Linked DNA regions of Pelodiscus sinensis. The protein of the gene in region 2 interacts with the protein of the main gene of each other region in a pairwise test. Links are inferred from orthologs where the notes say so. Each region holds a gene or a part of one and is shown on either strand. Other genes may lie near its edges.

Region 1 (10,141 bases), on a different chromosome or scaffold from region 2:
GCAGATTGTGTGTTTTCTTCCATACCTACTTGAAATATAGTTTTGCTCTTTTGCATGTTCATCCATCATTGTCATATATTTCCCTTGCTGTTCAGGTGATGATCCCAGAGTGTTTCACCACCTCAAAGAATTGCTGCAAAACCAATCAGCACATTTGGGGGATAGCTAGTCCACCTTGTAGCAAACATCACTCTATTGAAATTAAGATTTCTAAAAACCTTCTGCAAAGAGGAGGCAAAGGACTTTGTTGTTTCCTACTTTCAGAGATTAATGTGAACAGCTCACATTCTTTGTTGCCTTATTTTCCATCTAGAAAGGAGTTATTTCCTCTTCAGTAGAGCTGCTAAAAACAAAAAGGAAATTTGAAACGTTTTATCGTTTTTTTCAAAATGTAGATGTATATTAATGTTGAAAATTGGAAAAAAAAATACAAAAAAAACTTCTCCAAACCCCACTCAAAATTCCATCATTTAAATTATTTTTTAAATTCAAAACCAAGTGTTTGACAAAGAAAATTGTTGAGAGAAAACTAAAAAATTGGAAAATTTCAACCAACTGTACTCCTAGGTTTTGCTTTGTGCACAAATTCTAGGGACCATGCTTTTCCAAAAATATCATGAGAAGAAAATGAAACCAGAAGCAGCACGTATTTCAAGCTGAGTCTAAGAACATGACTGGAAAAGCAAAGGACTCTTGAGCTAAAACAGGGGTGGGGAACCTATTTTGGGGCTGTTGACCCACAGAAAAATCAATTGGAGGCCACACAAGTGAGAACCCCCCCCCCCATATATATGTGGCCCCCGACTGAGAAGCAGAAAAATCTCCTCACAATCCCTTTGCACATCAGAGCCTAGGCAGGCCCAGGCTAGTAGATTGAAGTGGTGGCAGGGGGCTGAGCCTTGGGGGCCAATCCAGACGAGCCAGGGGCTGTATCTAGCCCTAGAGACTTAGGTTTCCCACCCCAGGCTAAAAGGAGGATTTAACATATCACTAACTACATTACTTTTTTCTTAATTTGTATTGCTTTAGGTCTGTACGTGTGATCTCAACCACTGGTGAGGGTGTACCGAACACAATCCTTAATGAGCAACTTCAGTACCTGGGGTGTTTCTTATTCCAAATTGTGATTAAATCTTTTAACTCCAGTCAGTTGTGTGGGTATGGTGAGGACAAGCAGCAGCAGCAGCAATTTCATGGATGACAATAGAATCATCTGTCATGTTAAGATAACATACAAATGATAAATTTCTGCTGCATTTAATCCCTGGGATAAAAGGAGACAGGAGAAGCAGCTTCTGATAACAGCAGTGTGCTTAGCAGTTATACAGTGTCTCCCACTAAGGGAACTCAGTGAACTTTGCAGTTGTTAATTAGCCATCATAATGTCCTTGTGAAATAGGGACCATCTTCATGTTTTCTTCAGAAAAGGAAACAAAACCCCTTATTTCACAGGTGAGACACAGAGACTTTAAGTGACTTTTCCAAGGACATAATGGAAGTCCTAAGGTCAGTCCTTTCACTTAGTCTGACTTCTGTATTAGGGAAACTCCAGTAAGGCCAGTGGGACAGCAATATAGCATGTGGGTGGATTGCAAATTCTTTGTCTGCCAAAGGCTTGCTGTTTGAGGCAGCAATGGCCCACATGCTCCTTCCAAATTATGCCAATGGCCTTAAACACAAGACCATATTTCAGTTCACAGTAGTCACTAAAATGCTGATGGATGGTTAACTGCAAAGGCTGCATGATGGGTAATTTTAAAAAGTATTGTTATCAGGAAGTAGGAATTTGTAAAGAAGGAGGCACAATAAAAAGTTCTAGACATCAACTTACGCACATTAGTTATGCATTTAGGGATGTAACTAAGGCTATACAATTCTCAGGAAAACTTGCCTGATTTTGGGTTAAGTAATAAAGTGGAAACATAGCCCATGCCGGCTGAAAGGTTTGCAAAGGATTGTGAATTTTTCCAATGAATTTGAGCTCATTTTCCAGCATGCCTGTGTTGGCATGATTTTGCATTGAAATCATATGAATTTTCCTATTCATGCCTAATATACCATAAACCTGTTGGGCTACGTCTAGACTGGCATGATTTTCCGGAAATTCTTTTAACGGAAAAGTTTTCCGTTAAAAGCATTTTCAGAAAAGAGCATCTAGATTGGCACGGATGCTTTTCCGCAAGAGCACTTTTTGCGGAAAAGCGTCCGTGGCCAATCTAGACGTGCTTTTTCACAAAAAAGCCCCAATTGCCATTTTCGCGATCGGGGCTTTTTTGTGCAAAACAAATTTCAGCTGTCTACACTGGCCCTTTTGCGCAAAAGTTTTGTGCAAAAGAGACTTTTGCCTGAACAGGAGCAGCATACTATTTCCGCGAAAAGCACTGATTTCTTACAGTAGGAAGTCAGTGCTTTTGCGTAAATTCAAGAGGCCAGTGTAGACAGCTGGCAAGTTTTTCTGGAAAAGCGGCTGATTTTCCAGAAAAACTGGCCAGTCTAGACACAGCCTTGGAGTGTGTTCCATTTTGACAAAAGTATTTTTGAACCCAAACTGTGAATCTCGCCTACATGCAATGTGAAGAGACTCACCCAATGGCATCCAGTTGTAAAATGTGAAAGCCTCGTAGTCCTAGATCATTAGAAATATTGGTTGTCCATATATAGATGGTGGGGAAAAGAGGAAAATGAACATTAATCATCTGAAAAAAAATCTGGAAGTTGTTCGTAGTCATAGAATGGCATGCAAAGTTCCAGCAAGGAGTTCTGTTTGTTTTTAACTACTGCTTCATGTTTCTCTCTCTATTGTGATTATATACCACCATTACGATGGTATCTCAGTATTTCAGAATTTATGACGAATTTATCCTCACAACACTCCTGAGTCATTATCCCCATTTTATAGATGGGGAACTGAGGCACAGAAAAGCTAACATGCCCAGAGGCACATAGGAAGTCTGTGATAGAATATGGCATTGAACCTGTCTCCAAAATCCAAAGCCATGGCCCTACCTTTGCCATGTCCTTTGTCTTAGTTTCATTCTCTGACAGAAAAAAAGGTCATAGGTATTGGGGGTGGGGGAAGAAAGGCACATTGTGCCACTACAGAAGTAGTCATGGAAGAGGGAACAAGATTGAAGGCTAGCACTGAGCCAAGGGAGCTTCCTCAGAAGCAAGGTCCCATACCTGATGGAACGAAGAGATCTTATTAATACTTTGATGAATGTAAAACAAATCAGATTTACCCAAAACAAATTAAAACAGTAAAAATGCAACCATCGGTGATGGTGAAGTACCCTCACGTTGTGAGAGTAAATAAAAAGTTACAAATACCATTTCAGTAGTAACTAGTAAGTTGTGTAAAGGGTTATAACCCCTTGGACAGCACTTATGTATTTCAGAAGCCCTATTAAAATTACCAGTTCTAGAATTTTAGCTGGGATGGTAACTAAGAAGGAACACTGAAATGATGAAGAATCCAACAAGGGAAAACTAAAAATCAGCACAACCTCAAGGGCAGAGGTTTGTGAAGGTGAGAGAGCAAGATGCAAATGGAAGGAAGCTTTTGAAGGAATAATATTAACCATAGTCAAAGAAAAGCTTTAGCTCAAAGAAAAGGAATCTGGAAACAATAAGGAGAATTGACCCACTACTTTTTTGGACCACGCTGTACTATTTCATAGAAGATTATATCCCTGCTATAGAATTCTAATGGATAGTTTATATAAGTATCCATTAAATTCTCTATATTTGTGGAATAACTTATATGCTGCCTTATTAAATTTCTGGTACGCTTTAATTAATGTTACCCCTCTCCAATTCTATACGAGTTTACAAGAAGGTAAAGTTTAAATATGTGGGCTGAGATTTGCAAAAGCCATCTAAACATTTTTGGATGCTTTCCAGTCCCTACTCCTACCCACCTCTCTCCCCTTCCCCTCCCCCCCAAAAAAATCTACTAGAGAAAGACAAGTAGAAAGTATGTTGCAATGCATCATTCCACTGTCTATGAACACAGCATTTGGAGCTTCACAGATCGCTAGACTGGAAGGGCTTTGATTCAGTGGGAGCACTACACAACCTGATCTCTCATCAAACCAGTCGGGAAATTTCTACACAAATTAAGGAGGATACTGTTCCTAAGGTTCTTGGCTCCTAACCAGGTGAAATCTGGCCATATTGAAGTCAAGGAAAGTTTTGCATTGATTTGAACAGATCTAGTATTTTACCCCTGGACTTCAGCTTTCCATTATTAGAAGAATTCTTCTGGAGAGTTTGCACTTTCCCCCTCTTTATATTCAATTAGTCAATGCTATTAGACTTCAACTTTTATGAGAAGTAAAATTCAACCATAAAAGTAAAATACAAAAAATTGAAAACACTGGCTTTATTAGCAAAAGAACAACTGTGATTAAAAGGACAACTAACTATGAACCTTACAATGTCTACCAATTAACCAATAAATAAAATCCTTAAACTTTTCTCCCTGCAAATAACCTTGAGACACCATAGGTCAAAACTGATCAGAGTCTTTTTCAAACAACTCGTTTTTTCATTATTATTTTTTTACTATTACAAGAAGATTGGTATAGCATCTTAAATTTCTGCAAATTATGCAATCTAAAATCAAAGTGCCTTTTGTGACAGTGCAATAAAATTACATGGCAAGACTGTCAGCAATGTGATAACATTAATACATAAATCTGTTCCATTCTGTTCTGTTAAAATACTTCAAGAAATGTCAACTAATCATACATACTGAAGACAAATGTGGGCATAAATGTTAGATGTGAACAAGACAAGCATCACAAAGTTATTTTCTTACTATAAGAGGTTCTATGTCAAGCTTTAGGCATGTAACTAATCTGCTGAAAATAAGAAAAAAGATACAAAATAGTGTATTTCAGAACAGGGATGTGATTACAATTTAAATTGTGTTTATCAAAGTTTGATTTTTGGGACTCATTAGTAAAAGAAAAATTGACTGAATGTACTTCATACATAAAACCAGATAGTACAACAATTAATCTATGTTGTTGACATTCTGTTACAGAAAATTTCAATGTCATTGTCCATAAAGCTTTTTAATGCAAACCGTGTAAATAGACATTTAAGTAGTGCTTTTTTTTTTAACTAAGCACTGGCACATCCTCTTAATATAGTACTTAGTACAGTAAATACAAAATCTGTAGCAGAGATCTTTTAAAAGCTGAGACTCCGACATAATAGTGGAGGAGAAAAAATGAAATAATGTTGATTGAGATTTATATCATGTGTAAACTTAGAAATCCAACAAGTTAATTTTACATTAAATAAGCAACAAGAACAATCCACTGTTTGCAGCAAAAATAACTTTAGGTATCTCATCATAAATGCCTCGTTGAAAGCTTTTGTTCTCAGTGGCAGGTAGGAAGAAAGTAGGCTAGTAGAAGAAAACAGAATTTACAGCATATTGGTTGATTCCTACTTATCTAATTTTTAAAAATTAATACATTGAAAACAGTTCATTGAAATCAGCAACAATCTTGTTTGAATATGTTCACAGAATTCTGTAGGCAATCCAAAGAAGATTCACCAAAGTATATGGCCTCAGCCAGTCTTAATGACAATGTTCTTTTTAGTCTATGTCACAAATTCCATCAATTATATAAACTAATTCTATTAAAACACTACTAGAAACAAACAAACAAAAATCAGAATTAATCAGTGACCGAAAAGAAAAAGTTCTTGCTTAATTCACAAACTTTCAATTGATTACCAGGTCAACTGACCTAAATATTTTAAAACGTATCAACTAAAAGAGCGGAAAGAGAAATAATAAGGAAAAGCAGTTTCTATAATACTCACAACTGGTTCAAGCTGCTTCTTCTTCTGACTTGTGTAGCAAAATAAAGGGGGAAAATAATTAGATTAGCTTTCACAGAAATAAGCATTCATCAAGTCCAAAAGAAACAGAATACTCTGCCAGAGCTATTTGAGGGTCCTATCAAATTTTGGCTGTGTAGAAGACGGCTGAGGGACAGTTTATTTCCCTTAGACCTCATGACATGCAAATAGCTGGTTCCCTTGTCACTGGATTGAAATCATTCTTTGTCATATTGTGTTTACAGATGGTAGACAAAAACAGACCACAGAGGAGATCCTTAAAAGAGCATTTTTCAAGGACAATGTTTCAAAGACCTAGAAAGAGGCGCTTTAGTAAAAAAATCTATAGTGGAAGGCGGGGAAGGGAATGAACATATTAATCTCCAGCTTTTTTGTGCACAGATTCTTTGAAAACATTCAAGATACTCGATAAAACTCAAAATTAACATTAAAACTCCTGCTTACAGTTTTTGGGGTACAGGCAGTCCCCGACTTACGCGGATCTGACTTACGTCGGATCCGCACTTACAAACAGGGCTTTCTCGCCCCGGAGGTCGGGGCGAGAAAGCCCCGTTCGTAAGCTGCTCCGGTGCCCCTGGTCTGCTGGAGACCGTCTCCAGCAGACCAGGGGCACCGGGCGGGTTCCCGCGCTTCTGAGGCTTTGCCAGAGCAAAGCCTCAGAGGCGCGGGGAACCGCCGCTGCTGCCGCTTCAGTCTGGGTGCCTGTGGTCTGCTGGGGACCATCCCCAGCAGACCACAGGCACCCAGACTGAAGCGGCAGCAGCGGCGGTTCCCCGCGCCTCTGAGGCTTTACTCTGGCAAAGCCTCAGAAGCGCGGGACCCCCCCGCGGCTGCGGCTTCAGTCCGGGAGCCTGTGGTCTGCTGGGGACCGTCCCCAGCAGACCACAGGCACCGGGACTGAAGTCGTAGCCGCGGCGGGGTCCCTCGCCTCTGAGGCTTTGCGAGAGCCGCTGCCGCTGCGGCTCTGCTCCCTGTGTCCCTGGTCTGCTGGGGGGGGGGGAGGGGCGCAGCTAGTGTGCTTCCCCCCCCTCCCAGCAGACCAGGCTTTTGTTTTGGACTCTGGGGCAGAGCAGCTGGGGCGCTGCCAATTGGTCCTGCAGCGCCCGCTCTGGGCACTACTGGACCAACCCGGCAGCACCCCAGCTGATCTGCCCCAGGCGTCCCCAAGTCAGCTTCTGCTGAAACTGACCAGCGCTGACTACAGGAAGCCCCAGGCAGAGTTGCTCTGCCCCGGGCTTCCTGGAATCAGCTGCTGATCAGTTTCAGCAGCAGCTGACTTGGGGACGCCTGGGGTTCTTAAGTTGATTCTGTATGCAAGTCAGAACTGGCGGTCAGTTTCAGCAGTGTCTGAATCTGGACGCCAGTTCCGACTTACATACAGATTCTACTTAAGAACAAACCTACAGTCCCTATCTTGTACGTAACCCGGGGACTGCCTGTATTCTGCATAGGTTTTGTGGGTAGGGGTGGAAGGGAGACATTAAAATACCACACCCTTCCAATTTAGGAAAGGGCTATGGGATTTAATATTACATCACAGCTTCCTGCTAGTTATTTATACAGTGGGATGGTTGATGCCTTCAATGCAGTTTTCTGGTGATTAGATTCATATCAGTGGAAAGTGAATGGCTTTTCTCTGGACCTCTCTTAATGCTCATCTCAGGGCTGGCCGCATTAGACTTGGAGCAGAGGTAACCACACCAGTGTTTGGGCTAAGGTTACACTATCCACCACTCCCACTACAGAACAGTTCATTCACTGCACTGTTGTACCAGCCTTCAGTGAATTTTTTATATCCAGTTAAAATTAAGCAGCTGAAATTAAGCAGCTTAAAACAGGATTGTTGGTTGTGGCTTGAGACATTGCAGACCCTAGACCATGCTTTCCACCATTATATTCCCTAGATTACACTATGATGAACCAATTTATCTCTGGGCTTAATCAAGCCTTGCATGTCAAGTGTACAGAAGAGCTGTTTATTATTATGTCATTGCCAAGAAATAGAATTCTGTTTCTCTCTTTCGATAAATCTTACATTGAAAGATTTTGGTAAAATTTGCAAATACCAGGAAATAAAGTTTCTAGGTGGTAGATCTTCAATAGGACCCTGGGCCGTGAGTGACTGTACAAGGCTGTCTACTGACAGGATGCTTGGATGTAACTTGACTCAAAGTAGTGGCCTGGTTAAAGCCCATACCACATGAACTAGCCTTCTTCGTGATAAGCACACCAAATTACACAAATAGTATGTTCTTTTCAGGAAAGAGTATGAAATATATGTTCATTTTCCATTGAACATCGCATTTTCCAAACTTCAATTCATGTTTTTTTTCTTCTCAGAAGAAACTTGCAGAATGGAGACTATACCTGTATAACTTACTAGAGAGTTGTCTTTTTAAGCATTTAAAGCAAAGTGAAAACCTTCACAAATAAGGAGCATGAAGTGAAATTAATTAGTGGATAATGTGAAAACTAAGTGCCCTTTTCTCTAAACCCAAACGAGGTGCTATAACACATAGCCCTTCTTAATAAACTATTTGACCAACCTGGTAACAAAACCACCCTGATTTGACCTAAACTTCCACTTCTACCCTCACTGATATTAGCATGGTATTTGCCATTAACATGAGCCTCTCAAAGAGCTCTTTCCCCTTTATTTTTGTTTAAGATTCACTCAAATGTATCTTTCTAAGCAAGGTTTCTATCTCTGACAATTCAGAAAAATAATTTAAAATCCATTTCACTACTACATTGATCTTCAACCTATTTTAATGTATTCTTATACTTTAAAAAATGAGTAGCTATTTAAAATATCAGAAAGCATTCTGATCCCACAATAAAGCATTTCAATAATCCAGAAGCTTCAGATGATCATTACTTTTATGTTCCAATTATAACCATGCTCTCCATCACAGTAGTAAATGTCTCTCAAAAAGGCTACAAAAGTCTTAAGGTAAAAAACATGAAGCCATTTAAATCATTAATCGAAAGGTATACAGAAAGCTTTAGCAGAAGTTCTAAATATCAGAAACTCAGGACAAGCTCTGTTAGATTACATCAGCAATCTTTGACTGCTCTCATGCAAGTCATTTAATTTTGAGTACAATTACAACAGTTTTTAAATGTCATCACTTCTTGAAGTTTAATCTCAAGAGTTTCTCAGATTAATTACTCCTCTCCCCCGTTTTTCAAGTGTCTTTGGAAGAGACTTCATACAAGAAATTTTATGAAGCATGTATTTTTAGTGAGTGGAACAAGGGGGCAATTTGTCCATGATATTGCTCTTTTTAAAAATGTAATTTAAATTAAGCTACACTGTAAATTTATCTGAAAAAGAAATAGGCAGCTTTGTCAACTAAACAGCTGATAATTAAAATAAGAATCCTAAGAATAGTAATGAATCCTTTCCTTTTTTTTCCAGTCGCTACGTGAATCATATACAGGAAAAAAATCATTAGCACAGTGTTTGGGGGAAAATATTTTATTTATTCCTCTCTCTTGTAATTAAAGACACCTTTATCTAGGAATGTTAACCTCTACACTTGATAGACAGATATTCAATACTTATTTTTTCTGGCATGGAAACACCAATGAAGGTTTCTCATAATTAACCACTGAAAATTCTATGAAGAGACCACTACCGAAACATTAGTACTTCTTTCCTATCCATTTTAAAGAATGTTCTTTTTATTATTCTCATCATGTGGCCTATATTTGTAACAAAAATCTGTTGCATTACATAGAAGACTTGTATTAATTCATTATTATGTATTACAACAGTTTTAAGCAAAAAAGAGGACACAAAATTGGCAAGTATAACAAATTAAATGGAGCACATTAACAACTGTAGTTTGCAAGCAACAAGTGCAAGTCCAATCGACATATCTATGGTTAAGTCAACAGCAGAAACTATTTTAACCACTTAAATCATTAATTTTATTAAAATAATTATATTTACATAAAGAATATCAAATTGTAGAGTATTATTTACAAAATCAATGCCATATAAAAGTGTGTACATTTAATATAGGAAAATTATAACTATTTTCATTCAATAACAAGAGAATAAATATACTTATTTTATGCAAACCATTTTTGTAAACAAAGTGAAAGCAGTCAGAATATTTTCTTTTTTGCTATTTCCAGGTGACAGGCTTATATGGAGGCTTCCAACTAGGATGATGGACAAAACTGTCTCTGCCTCTAAATCCAAAGGGCAGAGATGGAGTTGCTCCTTTGTATTACAGTTTGGACAGAACCA
Region 2 (10,141 bases):
TGAACCCTGAAATGATGAGGGGGAGCCCTGGGAGGATGGGGTGAACCCCACCATGGGGGGCAGAGAGCCCTGGGGGAGGGGGGTGAACCCCACCATGGGGGGGGCAGAGAGCCCTGGGGGGTGAACCCCATCATGGGGAGGCAGAGAGCTCTGGGGGGGTTCACTCCACCATGGGGGGGCAGAGAGCTCTGGGGGGTTCACCCCACCATGGGGGGGCAGAGAGCCCTGGGGGGCGGGGGTTCACCCCACCATGGGGGGGGCAGAGAGCTCTGGGGGGGTTCACTCCACCATGGGGAGGCAGAGAGCCCTGGGGGGCGGGGGTTCACCCCACCATGGGGGGGCAGAGAGCTCTGGGGGGGTTCACCCCACCATGGGGGGGCAGAGAGCTCTGGGGGGGTCACCCCACCATGGGGGGGCAGAGAGCTCTGGGGGGGGTACATCCCACCATGGGGGGCAGAGAGCCCTGGGGGGGTCACCCCACCATGGGGGGGCAGAGAGCCCTGGGGGGGTCACCCCACCATGGGGGGGCAGAGAGCTCTGGGGGGGTTCACCCCACCATGGGGGGCAGAGAGCCCTGGGGGGGTCACCCCACCATGGGGGGGCAGAGGGCTCTGGGGGGGTTCACCCCACCATGGGGGGCAGAGAGCTCTGGGGGAGTCACCCCACCATGGGGGGGCAGAGGGCTCTGGGGGGGTTCACCCCACCATGGGGGGCAGAGAGCTCTGGGGGGGGTCACCCCACCATGGGGGGCAGAGAGCCCTGGGGGGCGGGGGTTCACCCCACCATGGGGGGGGGGCACAGAGCTCTGGGGGGGTTCACTCCACCATGGGGAGGCAGAGAGCCCTGGGGGGCGGGGGTTCACCCCACCATGGGGGGGCAGAGAGCTCTGGGGGGGGTCACCCCACCATGGGGGGGCAGAGAGCTCTGGGGGGGTTCACCCCACCATGGGGGGCAGAGAGCTCTGGGGGGGTACATCCCACCATGGGGGGGGCAGAGAGCTCTGGGGGGGTCACCCCACCATGGGGGGGCAGAGAGCTCTGGGGGGGTACATCCCACCATGGGGGGCAGAGAGCCCTGGGGGGGTCACCCCACCATGGGGGGGCAGAGAGCTCTGGGGGGGTCACCCCACCATGGGGGGGCAGAGAGCCCTGGGGGGGTCACCCCACCATGGGGGGGCAGAGAGCTCTGGGGGGGTTCACCCCACCATGGGGGGCAGAGAGCCCTGGGGGGGGTCACCCCACCATGGGGGGGCAGAGGGCTCTGGGGAGGTTCACCCCACCATGGGGGGCAGAGAGCTCTGGGGGAGTCACCCCACCATGGGGGGGGCAGAGGGCTCTGGGGGGGTTCACCCCACCATGGGGGGCAGAGAGCTCTGGGGGGGGGGGTCACCCCACCATGGGGGACAGAGAGCTCTGGGGGGGTCACCCCACCATGGGGGGGCAGAGAGCTCTGGGGGGGGTCACCCCACCATGGGGGGGCAGAGAGCCCTGGGGGGGGGGTCACCCCACCATGGGGGGGCAGAGAGCTCTGGGGGGGTTCACCCCACCATGGGGGGCAGAGAGCCCTGGGGGGGTCACCCCACCATGGGGGGGCAGAGGGCTCTGGGGGGGTTCACCCCACCATGGGGGGCAGAGAGCCCTGGGGGAGTCACCCCACCATGGGGGGGCAGAGGGCTCTGGGGGGGTTCACCCCACCATGGGGGGCAGAGAGCTCTGGGGGGGGGTCACCCCACCATGGGGGGCAGAGAGCTCTGGGGGGGTCACCCCACCATGGGGGGGCAGAGAGCTCTGGGGGGGTACATCCCACCATGGGGGGGCAGAGAGCCCTGGGGGGGTCACCCCACCATGGGGGGGCAGAGAGCTCTGGGGGGGGTCACCCCACCATGGGGGGGGGCAGAGAGCCCGGGGGGGTCACCCCACCATGGGGGGGCAGAGAGCCCTGGGGGGCGGGGGTTCACCCCACCATGGGGGGGCAGAGAGCTCTGGGGGGGTCACCCCACCATGGGGGGGCAGAGAGCTCTGGGGGGGTACATCCCACCATGGGGGGGGGCAGAGAGCTCTGGGGGGGTCACCCCACCATGGGGGGGCAGAGAGCTCTGGGGGGGTACATCCCACCATGGGGGGGCAGAGGGCTCTGGGGGGGTTCACCCCACCATGGGGGGCAGAGAGCTCTGGGGGAGTCACCCCACCATGGGGGGGCAGAGGGCTCTGGGGGGTTCACCCCACCATGGGGGGCAGAGAGCTCTGGGGGGGTCACCCCACCATGGGGGGGGCAGAGAGCTCTGGGGGAGTCACCCCACCATGGGGGGCAGAGAGCTCTGGGGGGGTTCACCCCACCATGGGGGGGGCAGAGAGCCCTGGGGGGGTACATCCCACCATGGGGGGCAGAGAGCCCTGGGGGGGTCACCCCACCATGGGGGGGGCAGAGAGCCCTGGGGGGGTACATCCCACCATGGGGGGCAGAGAGCCCTGGGGGGGTCATCCCACCATGGGGGGGGCAGAGAGCCCTGGGGGGGTCACCCCACCATGGGGGGGGCAGAGAGCTCTGGGGGGGTTCACCCCACCATGGGGGGGCAGAGAGCCCTGGGGGGGTTCACCCCACCATGGGGGGCAGAGAGCTCTGGGGGGGTCACCCCACCATGGGGGGGCAGAGAGCTCTGGGGGGGTACATCCCACCATGGGGGGGGCAGAGAGCTCTGGGGGGGTACATCCCACCATGGGGGGGCAGAGGGCTCTGGGGGGGTTCACCCCACCATGGGGGGCAGAGAGCTCTGGGGGAGTCACCCCACCATGGGGGGGCAGAGGGCTCTGGGGGGGTTCACCCCACCATGGGGGGCAGAGAGCTCTGGGGGGGTTCACCCCACCATGGGGGGCAGAGAGCTCTGGGGGGGTCACCCCACCATGGGGGGGGCAGAGAGCTCTGGGGGGGTCACCCCACCATGGGGGGGGCAGAGAGCTCTGGGGGGGTCACCCCACCATGGGGGGCAGAGAGCTCTGGGGGGGTCACCCCACCATGGGGGGCAGAGAGCCCTGGGGGGGGTACATCCCACCATGGGGGGGCAGAGAGCCCTGGGGGGGTCACCCCACCATGGGGGGGCAGAGAGCTCTGGGGGGGTCACCCCACCATGGGGGGCAGAGAGCCCTGGGGGGGGTACATCCCACCATGGGGGGGCAGAGAGCCCTGGGGGGGTCACCCCACCATGGGGGGGCAGAGAGCTCTGGGGGGGTCACCCCACCATGGGGGGCAGAGAGCCCTGGGGGGGTGAACCTCGCCGGGGGGGGTGAGTCCGAGCGGGGGGGTGTCAGGGGCGGGAGCGAACGCGGCCGGCCCGGGGGAGGGGCGGGGGAGGGTCAGCCGGGGCAGAGGTCAGGGGTGAAGGGTCACACGGCGAAGTTGGGGCTCGCTCCCGACTCCTTGGCTCGCGGACCCGCCCCTTAGGCCCCCGCCAATGAGAAGCCGCCTCTCCCCAAGGCCCGCCCCTTCCCCGCTGTCATCACAGAACCGCACGTGGAGGAGGCGGGCGGCGGGCGGGGCTTAGGGGCGCACGTCACGGCCCCCCGCCTTGCTATTGGCTGTGACGCCGGTAAGTCTCCGGGCCCAGCCCTGGCCGCGTCACAACCGCCAATCAGCGCGAGGGGGCGGGGCCCAGAGGCGGGGTCTCAGGCTAGACCCGGAAGCAGCTGCGGGAGGCTCTCGGCGGCGCTGGGAGTCGGTGGGTGGCGGGAGCCGGGCCGGGGGAGCCGCGGGGGAAGGAGGGGTGCTCTGGGGGGCCCCACGGGAGGGGGGCGGGGGAAGGAGGGGCGCTCTGGGGGGGCCCCACGGGAGGGGGCGGGGGAAGGAGGGACGCTCTGGGGGGCCCCACGGGAGGGGGGCGGGGAAAGGAGGGGTGCTCTGGGGGGCCCCACGGGAGGAGGCGGGGGAAGGAGGGGCGCTCTGGGGGGCCCCACGGGAGGGGGCGGGGGAAGGAGGGGTGCTCTGGGGGGCCCCACGGGAGGAGGCGGGGGAAGGAGGGGCGCTCTGGGGGGCCCCACGGGAGGGGGCGGGGAAAGGAGGGGCGCTCTGGGGGGCCCCACGGGAGGAGGCGGGGGAAGGAGGGGCGCTCTGGGGGGGGCCCCACGGGAGGGGGCGGGGGAAGGAGGGGTGCTCTGGGGGGCCCCACGGGAGGAGGCGGGGGAAGGAGGGGCGCTCTGGGGGGCCCCACGGGAGGGGGGCGGGGGAAGGAGGGGCGCTCTGGGGGGCCCCACGGGAGGGGGCGGGGGAAGGAGGGACGCTCTGGGGGGGGCCCCACGGGAGGGGGGCGGGGGAAGGAGGGGCGCTCTGGGGGGCCCCACGGGAGGGGGCGGGGGAAGGAGGGGTGCTCTGGGGGGGCCCCACGGGAGGGGGGCGGGGGAAGGAGGGGTGCTCTGGGGGGGCCCCACGGGAGGAGGCGGGGGAAGGAGGGGTGCTCTGGGGGGGGCCCCACGGGAGGAGGCGGGGGAAGGAGGGGTGCTCTGGGGGGGGCCCCACGGGAGGAGGCGGGGGAAGGAGGGGTGCTCTGGGGGGGGCCCCACGGGAGGGGGGTGGGGGAAGGAGGGGTGCTCTGGGGGGGCCCCACGGGAGGGGGGCGGGGGAAGGAGGGGCGCTCTGGGGGGGGCCCCACGGGAGGGGGGCGGGGGAAGGAGGGGCGCTCTGGGGGGGGCCCCACGGGAGGGGGGCGGGGGAAGGAGGGGTGCTCTGGGGGGGCCCCACGTGGGCTGAGGGCGAGGGGTCCCTGCAAGCTGCCGGCGGGGGGTGCAGGATCCTGGCTCCCTGGGGCGCGACCCATTTCCGGGGGGGGGGGGGAGGCGGCTTGAGGCGCCCATCCAGCCCACTCTTGTCTCCCTCCCTTCGGCAGGTCCCTGTGTCGTCCCGTGAGCAGAGGCTGCAGGTAAGATCTGGGTTGGACTTGCCACGAGCCCTGCCCTTTCCAGGCCGAGCTCACTGGGGCCTGTCCCCCCCGGGCGGCGCAGGCGATCTTCCACACTGGTATTGGGAATGGGCCTTTCCCCCGAGATCCTGCACTCAGGCGCAAGTTTGGTCGTGAGTCAAGACTGTCACTGTCTGATAGGGATCAGAGGGGTCGCCGTGTTAGTCTGAATCTGCAAAAGCGGCAAGGAGTCCCGTGGCACCTTATAGCTCAGTGGTTTGAGCATTGGCCTGCTAAACCCAGGGTTGTGAGTTCAATCCTTGAGGAGGCCATTTGGGGCAAAATTTGTCAGGGGTGGTACTTGGTCCTGCTGAGAAGGCAGGGGACTGGACTCAATGATCATTCAAGGTCCCTTCCAGTTCTAGGAGATAGGCAGTCTCCATTAATAATAGAAGTGTTGGAGCCTAAGCTTTCATGGGCAAAGACCCACTTTGTCAGATGCATGTCTCCAACACTTCATTTAGTCTATAAGGTGCCACAGGACTCCTCACCACTGTCTGATAAGATGACGAAGTGTGAAAAATTGGGGTGGGGAAGTAATAGAGTCTTATATAAGACAAAGATTTCAGTAATCAAGACAGTCCAGATAAAACTGGGATATGTGATCATCCTACCTTCTGAGGACTGTTTGGATCCAAGACAAACAAATCTGTCCCTTCTGAAAGTCTTGGCAGAGGGCTGAGGTCTTAATGGGGGGACACTGTGGGGGTGGGGAAGCTTGCTGCTTTTCTGTCTGGGCTGTGCCTTGTAGATGAGTCTCCTCTTTCAGTCTCCAAGGCTATGTCTAGACTACATCCTGCTGTTGGCAGAGGGATGTAAGTGAAGCGCTTCAAAAGTGAAATGAAGCAGGGATTTAAATATCCTGTGCTTCATTTGCATAATCACGTAATGGCGCTCTTTCGAAAAAGTGCCATTTTGAAAGTGAAGCTACAGACTAGACGCGGTTCTTTAAAAAATGGGGCGCTTTTTCAAAAGATCCTGTAAACCTCAATTTCAAAAGAGCGCTTTTTGAAAGAGCGCCATTACGTAATTATGCAAATGAAGCATGGGATATTTAAATCCCGGCTTCATTTGCACTTTTGAAGTGCTTCATTTATATCCCTCTGCAGACAGGGGGATGTAGTCCTAGACTATTAAGCCAGCACTTTTACCCTTGTAAATTACTGTGTGCGTGCGTGTGGAGTGCCTGATAGCATGCCTGCCCCTCCCCAGCCCCAGTGACTTCGAATCATAGGTTCTGTAGGCCAGATTCTTTACAGCTCTTTAGGTGTCTAATGGGGAAGGCAGGCACTTCTGGAAGTCCTGCTTAGCACCTACTGCCTATAGAAATCAGTGGAAGTTACCACCAGGAGTATGGTTGAAAAGACCTTTCGGCACCTAAATGCCTTTTAAAAAAACAGTTAATAAACATTTTACAATAGCTGTTGCCCACTATTCAAGACTTGCATTTTCCCCACGAGGCCTGTGTTTCAGGAACTGTAGGTATGGAGTTCTGTTCTTTGTGCCATGTCTCTAGTGGGATGGATGGTTTGTTACTGCCACTCCGGATCATCAGATGAAGTGAGTTTTGCCCTTGAAAACTCACAATTCTATATATTTGAGTTTGTCTCTAATGTATCACAGGACCATTCCTTGTTTAGGAAGGAGCACTGCAGAAAGGAATCTAGGGATCATAGTGAACCACAAGCTAAATATGAGTCAAGCGTGTGACGCTGTTGCAAAAATAGCAAATATGATTCTGGGTTTAACAGGAGTTGTGAGCAAGACACGAGCAGTCATTTTTCCCCTCTACTCTGCATGATTAGGCCTCAGTTGGAGTATTGTATCCAGTTCTGGGCACCACATTTCAAGAAAGATGTGGAGAAGTTGGAGAAGCGCCAGAGAAGAGCAACAAAAATGCTGTAAAGGTCTAGGAAACATGAGCTATGAGGGAAGGCTGAAAGAACTGGGCTTGTTTAGGCTGGAAAAGAGAAGACTGAGAGTGGACAAGATAGGTTCATGAACACTGCTGAAAGGGTGTTATAAAGAGGAGGGAAGAAAAATTGTTCTTCTTGGCCTCTGAGGACAGGACAAGAAGCAAGGGGCTCAAACTGCAGCCAGGGAGGTTTAGGTTGGGCATTAGGAAAAACTTCCTGCCAGTCAGGGGGGTTAAGCACTGGAGTCAGTTGTCTAGGGAGGTTGTGGAATCTCCATCTCTGGAGCTATTGAAGAGCAGGTTCGAGACACCTGACAGGGATGATGTAGATGGTGCTTGGTCCTGCCCGTGAGGACAGGAGACTGGGCTTCCTCCGGTTACAGTATTTTATGATTCTGTGTGTTGCTCATTAAACATTATTTCCCTGTTGAGCTTCAATCCATGGAATAGCCATAAAGCAGGGGTGATTCTAACCTGGGGGTAGGCAATAATTTTTGGCCCGGGGCCACTTCAAAAATGTTTAAAGTAGCCCCTGGCCACCCTGGAAGGGGCAGGGCCTAGATGGGAAGGGGGCGGGCCTAAACAGGAGGGGTGGGGCTATACCATCCCCAGACCATGATTGATCTGGGGGTGGGGGAACCCTTCTGCCCCCCTTCCCACTAGGCGCCTATGCCCTGGAAGAGGCTTGGCACGCTCCCCCACCCTCAGGCCAATCAGAGGGTGGGGCAAAGGAAGCTTCAAGCAGGTCCCCCGCCCCCAGGCCTTGATTGGCAGGGGAGTGGGCAAAACCTCCTCCACTCTTCGCCCCCCTTCCCCCTCAGCCCTGTGAGCAGCGTGCAGTGTTTCAAAGCGCCCCATGCTCCTGGCAGGGCAGGAGGAGGCTCTGCACGCTCCCCCACTGTCAGGCCCTAATTGGCTGGGGGCGGGGGCGCGGCAGGGCCTCCGCGGGCTGGATCCACTGGCGTGGCTGGCTGGATCCAACCTGTGGAGGCCCTTTTGCTCACCCCTGTGCTAACCCCTGTCTTGTATGACAGCCACAGAGCTCTGGAGACTGCATGTCCCAGCCTGCAGAGCTCCCCTTTAACCTCTGAACAGTCTAGTCTACCCCCAGTGCATGCTGGGATCTGTAGTCTCTTGGACCCTGCCGCTCCCCTTGCCGTAAGTGACAGCCACAGCTTGTATATTGTGGCAGTAGCCCATGGTCGGCATCATCCAGTCACCCCAAGGTCTCAGCTATAGGAGCTGCCTCCTGCTCCCTGGCTGGCTCCTTGCTGGGCTCTTGCTAGGATCCCGTGAGTTCTCCTGCCTGGACTCCCCTGGCTCCGAGTGCGGCACACAGGTTTGGGAAGCTAGGCTGAGCGCAGGAAAGGGGGAGCTGTCTGTCTGGGTCTGGCTGTTGGGAAAACCTCCTTGGAGTCCCAGCCTGGGACTTAGCTGCTCTCCAGAGCCTGTACTTTGGAGTCCCTTGGCTCCAGGTGCCTTGAACGTGCAGGGCAGCGTCATCGCTGCAGTTCAGTAGCGTCTGTGACTCAGCGTGTTTCCCTTCCCCTCTGGGGAGGGTTGGCTTTTTCTCTGTCACTGGAGCACTTCCCTCAGGAAAGGCGGAAGAAGAGCAGCATTGACGCTCTGGCTTTCCCAGCTGGTGGTCCGCAATGTGCTCTGGGCTCTGCTGTGTGAGCTAGGACTCCCTCAGCTCCAGGGGTGGGGGTGCTGAGCTGCTGAACCACACGGCAAACCCTGCGTGTGACGGAAACCGCTCGGAGCAGCCCTCCTACCCCCAGCACTCGTGCTCAGCTCTGCCGGCGGCTTGGGAAGAGGAACTGTCTGGACACGGTGACTGCTCTGCCTCTCTTGTGGCCAGTTGGGAAGGAGTGGTGGTAGCAGCGGGGACTTGTGGGGCCCTAACCTTGCTGCTGACAAGGCAGGGAGACGAGTTTGAGGCTCCTTCACCTCCCATGTGGGGCATCCCAGCCCTTGCTCTCTTGGGGGTCAGTTCTCATGCTTCACTGGGAATGGCTTGGGTGGGTGTTCAGTGTGGATCGGATCCCCCCCATGCTTTCCCCAGTCCTGTGACCTCAGCTTTTTGGCCAAGGAGGGACAGAGGCTCCGTCCCCCAGACTTGAGCTTGGAGCTTAGGGGAGACCCGGTGTGCTGGGTGGGGGCCCTCCAGGAGCACTGTTCAGCTGCCTCCTTCCCCAGCTGTCGCCTGTCTCCTGGGGTCTCTCAAGTGGTCTCCCTGCAAGATCTGCTGCTTGGCTGGTACCGAGTGACTTCTGCTGGCACAAGGCTTGCGGGGAAAGGGAGCCACTTGGTACCAGCTGGTGGGAGGCAGAGATCACGCCGCCAAAGGGCCCTTGCCCCATCCAGAGGAGGGGAAGGAGCTTTCCGAGGACAATGGAGTGGGAACCTGCTATTTATGGGGTGGAGTCCTACTTACAATTCAAATCGGCCATTTCCTTCCCCCGCCCTCCTCTCCGGGGAAACGGGAGCCCTGAGGTGTCTCTGCTCTTCAGCCTCTGTGTCCTGTGCAGTGTGAGCGCCTGGAGCGGCCATGTGCTTTGCCCCAGCCTTCCCCCATCTCCAGGCTGTCAGGCCAACCAGGCCCTCTCCTTGTTCCATAAGAAACCCCTGTGTTCTGCCTGCTCTCACGGGGCCCTTGGGGCACTAGATCAGAGCCCAGGGCTTGCTGCTTGTTTCCTTCCTTTCCCTTGTGTTCCCACTTCTGCCTCACTCCTAGTCTTCTCTCTGCCCGGCCTTTATTGCCTGGCCACCAGGCCGGATTGCTCCTTCTCCTTTCCAAGCTGGCGGGTGTGTCCTGAGCCTCGGACGTTGGGTCAGATGGGTGTGTTCCCCTCCAACGTGCTTGACTCCAAATCCATCTTCCGCCGTCCACTGTGCGGGAAGGGTGTCTGAGGAAATCGGCTGGGCTGAGGTGTCAATAGGGATATGTCTAGACTACATGCCTCTGGCGACAGAGCCGTGTAGATTAGGCCACCCGGCATAGGGAAACGAAGCAGCGATTTAAATAATCGCCCCTTCATTTAAATTGAAATGGCTGCCGCTCTGTGCCGATCGGCTGTTTGTCGGCTTGGCGCGCTAGTCTGGATGCTCCGCGGTGGACAGCAAAGGCATTTGTCGACTTCCCCGGTGTGCCTCGTGGGATGAGGTTTACCAGGGAGGTCGACAAATGCTTTTGTCGACCATGGAGCATCCAGACTAGCGCGCCGAGCCGACAAACAGCCGATCGGCACAGCGCAGCAGCCATTTCAATTTAAATGAAG

What was found.
Region 1: the proteins of ATOSB (region 2) and FHL5 interact in binary tests that used the Homo sapiens proteins (3 or more experiments, as listed by UniProt). The two-hybrid records come from large-scale screens. The link is inferred for Pelodiscus sinensis from reciprocal best matches to the Homo sapiens genes ATOSB and FHL5.

What each region holds. Positions count from the first base shown.
Region 1 is NC_134713.1:68,354,032-68,364,172, reverse strand, and holds the start of FHL5 (four and a half LIM domains protein 5), read right to left. Parts: upstream 6,411-10,141; 5' UTR 5,928-6,410; coding exon 5,842-5,927; intron 2,627-5,841; coding exon 2,587-2,626; intron 1,214-2,586; exon of another isoform or gene 1,100-1,213; intron 344-1,099; exon of another isoform or gene 63-343; coding exon of another isoform or gene 30-62; intron 1-29. UniProt on the Homo sapiens protein: May be involved in the regulation of spermatogenesis. Stimulates CREM transcriptional activity in a phosphorylation-independent manner.
Region 2 is NC_134716.1:128,860,231-128,870,371, reverse strand, and holds the start of ATOSB (atos homolog protein B), read left to right. Parts: upstream 1-3,603; 5' UTR 3,604-3,712; intron 3,713-4,873; 5' UTR 4,874-4,906; intron 4,907-10,141. UniProt on the Homo sapiens protein: Transcription regulator that may syncronize transcriptional and translational programs.